Saccharomyces cerevisiae S288C: one gene and its partner. The protein of the gene in region 2 interacts with the protein of the main gene of each other region in a biochemical or structural test. Each region holds a gene or a part of one and is shown on either strand. Other genes may lie near its edges.

Region 1 (3,126 bases), on a different chromosome or scaffold from region 2:
CATACCAGGTATTCGTAAAATAAAGACATGGCAGCACTATGACGAAGAATATCAACACTGATGCATAGGTGTTGGCGGAGACGTAGAATGGTGTGGCGAAAACAGAGCCGGACATGGCTTGGGAAACCTGGGTGTAGTCAAATGTAATTGGCAACGCACCGAGACCACTTTGAGTACCAAAGATTGTGTTAGCGATGAAATTGTGTCTTGTCTTCGACCCCCATAGGATAACGTTGAAATAGGACAGACCGGTAAAGAGGAATCCAGGTACCCAATACCAGATGAACGATCCGATAAGGACGATTAAGAAGAACCTGTAACGGGGCATCGTCCAACCATTTGCGACTGTCTTTTCAACTTTTCTCGAGTGCAACGAATCAAACAAGGACACTGAAATTAAAGTCTGAGGCCAGATAGAGCTTGCAGGGTTGACGACCCATCTTCTGGTAAGACCTGCAGCACCATAACCAATCATTTGAGATGTCCAAACCAACAAGAACTGATATCCGACATTAAGTTTCATGTTGTAAAAGCTTCCCTGGGCGTTCAAAATGTACATAGCGTATGCAGTAGAGGAAGTAAGCGCCACGGCAATTGTGACCACGGCGTGTTCCTTTTTGGTAAATGGGCCCGGGTTTAAATCGAAAAATGGCACTTTAGAACACTTCCAGTCGGGCAAGAGAGCCAGTATCCTACCAATTGGGTAGCAAACAACTTGTGCAACAAGGAAGTTGATCTCTAGCGATGGATATCTCAGGGAAAAAAATTGATTAACACCGGCGAAAACTACCACAAACACCGTGGTCAAGAACCACGTTCTCCAGTGGTTGAGGCGGATGGTGGGGTCATCCTCGATGGACACCGCCGATCTCACTTCAGGATATGGAGAATTGGGCAAGTATGTAGGGTCGCCCTTCCAAACGAGACCTTCCTCCTGTATGGAATGCCTGTCGAATTTTTGGCTTTCCGGATCGCGGTCCTCCTCATCAGTAGTCGCAGTGAGATTATTGACGTCCTCGTCAATATTCTTAACGAAAGCATCTTTCTTTTCCTCTTCCATATTGATCTGGATAGGAATGGTTGTTGGCGTTGGCGAGGGCTCCGACTCCAACGAGTCGCTCTCCCTATAAATGGTACTCATGTGTTCTGTGACGTTATATAATTGTTGCGGTTATTTTCTGCCACACAGTCGAAAACTTTTTACCAAGAATACACAGCTTCCGATGATTGTCCATATATAGTCGAAACAATTCATTGAATAGCCCAAAATTTGAAAAAAAAAGAAAAATGATGGGCACCCCATGATGATAAGAGCTCTCTTTCTTCAACAACGATTGCTAAGGCGTTTACAGACCCATCGACTGCCCTTGCAGTGGGTTTGATGTGATTAACAGGCAGCAGCAACAAGCAACTGCTGAAAACCTTGGTGCCTTGCAGACGGCTATTGTCCTGGATTTTGTGTGACAAAACGTAGATGTGGCGTCTTGTAGTCGGAGGTGTGGCGGGCCGGAAAAATAGTGGAAAAAAAGAAAATTAATGCGATAGCGACGGGCAGGTAGGGAGGTTTGAGGGGTCCGTAGTATGCGTCTATCGTTGCAACAAGGGTGACTAATGCCATGTCTTGGCCTTTGATGCAACGTCTCGGAAGTTAGTATCGATCCGAGGAGTGGAACGGATGCGATTTCCCCTCCATTCTATCGATAAGGTTGCTGGGAAACGCATTATAAGGGATGAGTGAAGACGGAGGGAAAGCATAACGAGGAGAGATTGCCGAGATAACTGAGAAGACGTAATCTAAAGGCAACGCAGCATGTCTCGAGTTGCACAGCTCGACTCGATAGCGCTTGATAAAGAATTGTATGGACAGTTTTGGTCCGAGTTCAATGCAGCATTCAATACGAGTGAACACAAAGAGGAATGGGAGTTGGCACTGAACACAGTTGTGTTTATGTGCGCGACGAGGTTCCTGCCACACTATGGCTCTAGCTGTACGTATGGATCCGCACTCAGTGGCGTGGTTTTTCAGTGCAGGAAACGCACCTTGTATGTCGTCACTGTCTTGGCAGGGTACGTGTGGAAGAAGATCACACATATTATTTTTAATGGGCCGCACTGTGGGAACCAGATGATGTGGCTGAAGCTGTACAAATGGGTTAATTTATTGTATCACGGCTGTGATGTAACCAACTTCCTGAGGTTTCTAGCAGCGGAAGGGCCCAATGCGAGGGCGTTTTTGTCGCCGTTATACCGGGCTTTTAATGTCCATTCCACAAGGTTGATTCGGGATGGTTCTGCAATTGCCTCTGAATTTTATTCGAACTCTGTATTCGCTGGGTTAGAATACCAGAATAGACAATTGCTATGGAATGCACTATTAGAACTCTTTTCCAATACACTACTTACGAAAAGAGGACTCTTGACCTTTGTTAAAAAACCACCAAGGTCTCGTTCTACGACTACTTATAAGACAGTTTGCCCCCGTTGCGGCGGTTTTCCAACCAACCCATACCAGATCGCTTGTTGTCGTGCGAACTACTGTTACGTGTGCGTTGTAAAGGCGTTGGAGTGGTCTATGTGCGATGCCTGTGGATCCTCTGGGAGACTGACCGCCTCACCAGTGTACTAAAGGGCCCCGTTCCCTCGCTTGTATCTCTATATATGTGTATACTATATTCATATTCATGTTGTCAAAATCGGTCACGTGGTAAAGGGTCTGGTTTTTTTTTTTTCACTTTCTGCTCAAGAAAAAAAAGAAACAATAAAGAAGTGGTATAATATCATCATGGAACGCTGTACGGGACGATGTGGGAAGCGACGTCTGAAATCCAGTAATAATAAACAGTGAGCACTTTAGGATAGCAGTAGTTTGCATTTTGCACGTTTCCCTTTCCATGCAATGTTTTTACCTCGTCTCGTTCGGTACAGGACCGAGAGGTTTATAAAAATGGTACCTACCAGGACCTTGCGACGAATCAACCACAGCAGCAGGGATCCAATTCAAAAACAGGTCTTGGCCCTTATCAAAGCAAATGCGAATTTAAATGACAATGACAAGTTGAAAATACGGAAATATTGGTCTGACATGGCGGACTACAAAAGTCTTCGGAAACAAGAAAATAGCTTACT
Region 2 (3,365 bases):
TTTGGAAAGTAAAAAGGGTTCCTCTTCTACTTCTCTAAATAATAGCAAAGATAAATTGAAAAGTCTCAACCTACCTCAACTACCTCCACCAAAGCCAAAGGTGCAAATTCCAGGTCTGAACAGACCCCAAATTGCTGATCCTAAGCAGTGGGGTAAAAAGTCAAGCACACAAGATACTAACGTGCACGATAATTTGAGGGAATTGAACACAACTAGTGGAGGAAATAAAAAGAAAGGCAAACAAAAGCAGCTGTTATTCCACATTGGTGTATAGTTGGAAATATATTTCTAACCTGTAACTGACAATAGCATTAGAGAAATGAAAGTCTTAAATAAAATTCCGATAAAGAAAAACTTATTTAATTAATTAATATAATTACAAGACTAAAAAGCATTATTTCCCCTTCGCGTTTTACTTCTCCTGCTCAGACGTCTGCGTTATTTCTGAAAAAGGCCTGTGGACAATGCTAAAAGAGTAGTCAAATTATTGATTAGTTCCTCTATTGCCGCAGGACCAGAATTTCCTGTGGTTGACAGTGTTGTCTGCACAAGGGGCATTCTGGCCTCTCTTTACACCAGCTCATAAGACAACTCCAACAAAATAGATGTCCACATGGCGCGCAGCTAGGATCACTCATGTTCATGAGACATAGGATGCATTTTCTCGAGGCTTCTGGAATAAATGGCAATTGGTTTTTATCTGACAAATTTATATGAGTCAGCTGCGATTCCTTCGGTATGCCTTCTATAGATTCATGTTCTGAACGCTCCTGTAGACCAACAGACGACCTAGTAATTGAATCATTGGTCCTTTTTCTCCCATAAATCCAGGACCCGAGCGTAGAGGTTAGGACAGGGTACCATTTCATAACATTTTGAGCTAATAGGATATAACCTAATACTTTGTACTTTTGTGAGCCCTCTTCTCTAAAATTGGCCTCATTTTTTGACAATATATGTTTAAAAACATATCTCATACCAAAAATCCTTTTGGAAATACTGTAAAAAGCTCCTTTGAAATAAAAGAGGGTCATGTGTACGTCTAAAATGAAATCTAAAAGGCCCTTACAAAACGCGGCAACACTTTCAGTATCTTCAATTTTACTTTCCTTGTTGTTCTTCATTATTTTCTTGTATAGTTTGGTGATGAAATATGGACATAAAGGATAAGCGAAAGCGAATACAATCATTTTGAGCCGTCCTGCAAGTCTGGTACCCTTCCTATTAGTGTATGTCAAGTCAACATATTCCTCACCTAACGTTCTACCACGTCTTCCTGTAGTAAAGAGCAAATACAGGAGCTTGGCAAATATGGACAGTTCCTTAGGGTAAGAGTTAACAAACAATTGACTCTTTATCAATTTGCACAATTCAGTCACTTTCATAATCAAAAGGCCCTGGATTTGTTCATCTTTTTGATGCGCTTGTACTATACTTGGAGCATCGGCAAATGGAAATCTTAGCTGCGATAGTCGCATAAGTGCTTCCTTTTGCAACTTATTATCATTCTTCATTTTGGTCCTCTATTGTATGACCCCCCACCGATGTAGTAGTGTCTGTTTCTTTCTTCGATGTGTAGTGTGCTTTATTACCACTACCTTATTTTTCTAATGTAAACGGCTAATACCTACTTCGCCCTCTCAGATTATCACGGTGGGTAAAAATTGTGATAAAACCGGCTGATTACTTGCAAGAAGATGCACATATGGACAGCTCATGTAGCTGTTGAGACGTTATCATTGTTAGAACTTTGGCTCCTATAATATTATCAATTCACGTTTTGCTGCTTATTCCTCCGAACGACTTTTAGCATTGGGTTACTCTGATCACAAACATCCGTACCCTACACTCCGGGTGATAAAGCCAGCCCATTGTTTCGTACTTTCTTATTACACCCTCATATTGAACGATCTATAAAACGAAGTAATGTACAGACACAAGTGCAAGCGAGGAATATATACGGTCGATTAGTAGATTACAAACCACGAAGTAGAATATATCATTTCCGTTTCGTCTAGATAAAAAAACACTTCTTTGTTCAGAGTAGCTAATTGATGGTGAACGAATTAGAGAATGTGCCACGGGCGTCGACCTTGACGAATGAAGAGCAAACGGTTGATCCTAGCAATAACGACTCACAGGAAGATATTAGTCTGGGTGATTCTAACGAAATTACTTCGTTGGCATCATTAAAGGCTATCCGATCAGGAAATGAAGAGGAAAGCGGGAACGAGCAGGTGAATCATAATGATGAGGCCGAAGAAGATCCTCTGTTAACTCGCTACCATACCGCTTGCCAAAGAGGTGATCTAGCGACTGTCAAAGAAATGATACATGGAAAGTTGCTCGAAGTTAATAACGACGGTGACTCTACGGAACATATCACTGGTTTGCATTGGGCAAGTATTAATAACAGACTTTCTGTAGTGGATTTTCTAGTTTCACAAGGCGCTGATGTCAATGCAAGGGCTGGTGCTTTGCATGCCACACCATTACATTGGGCTGCAAGGTATGGGTACGTGTACATTGTCGATTTTTTGCTTAAGCATGGAGCTGATCCCACCATGACCGATGACCAAGGTTTCAATCTACTACACTTATCTGTGAACAGCTCAAATATAATGCTAGTTCTATACGTTTTATTCAACGTTGTCAGCAAAGGTCTTTTAGATATAGATTGCCGAGACCCAAAGGGCAGAACTTCACTACTATGGGCTGCTTACCAGGGAGATTCCCTAACTGTAGCAGAATTGTTGAAATTTGGTGCCAGCATAAAGATCGCAGATACAGAAGGATTCACCCCACTGCACTGGGGCACTGTAAAAGGGCAACCACATGTACTAAAATACTTGATTCAAGATGGTGCAGATTTTTTCCAAAAAACGGATACCGGAAAAGATTGCTTTGCTATTGCTCAAGAAATGAACACTGTGTACTCACTTAGAGAGGCTCTAACACATTCTGGATTCGACTACCATGGTTATCCCATTAAAAAATGGTTCAAAAAAAGTCAACATGCTAAGCTCGTTACATTCATAACGCCATTTCTATTTCTAGGAATCGCATTTGCTCTTTTCTCTCATATTAACCCTTTGTTTGTAATCATTGTCCTTTTTTTATTGGCCATTGCCACTAACAAAGGCTTGAACAAATTCGTTCTGCCGTCATATGGACGAATGGGTGTCCACAACGTTACCTTGTTAAGGTCACCTTTGTTATCCGGTGTTTTTTTTGGCACTTTACTTTGGGTGACTATCGTTTGGTTTTTCAAAGTTATGCCTCGAACATTTTCTGATGAACAATATACTAACATCCTAATGCTGGTAATACTTGTTTCTGTATTTTACCTTTTTGGGCAGCTTGTT

What was found. Proteins that work in one complex are often made in the same cells at the same time.
Region 1: the proteins of PEX10 (region 2) and PEX2 form a complex in vitro, tested with the Saccharomyces cerevisiae proteins (one study listed by BioGRID).

The regions. Positions count from the first base shown.
Region 1 is NC_001142.9:35,109-38,234, forward strand, and holds PEX2 (ubiquitin-protein ligase peroxin 2), read left to right. Parts: upstream 1-1,810; coding exon 1,811-2,626; downstream 2,627-3,126. Other genes in the region: oligopeptide transporter OPT1, read right to left, coding at 1-1,141; CBP1 (Cbp1p), read left to right, coding at 2,897-3,126. UniProt on the Saccharomyces cerevisiae protein: E3 ubiquitin-protein ligase component of a retrotranslocation channel required for peroxisome organization by mediating export of the PEX5 receptor from peroxisomes to the cytosol, thereby promoting PEX5 recycling.
Region 2 is NC_001136.10:997,013-1,000,377, reverse strand, and holds PEX10 (ubiquitin-protein ligase peroxin 10), read right to left. Parts: upstream 1,515-3,365; coding exon 501-1,514; downstream 1-500. Other genes in the region: E3 ubiquitin-protein ligase HEL2, read left to right, coding at 1-274; palmitoyltransferase AKR1, read left to right, coding at 2,055-3,365. UniProt on the Saccharomyces cerevisiae protein: E3 ubiquitin-protein ligase component of a retrotranslocation channel required for peroxisome organization by mediating export of the PEX5 receptor from peroxisomes to the cytosol, thereby promoting PEX5 recycling.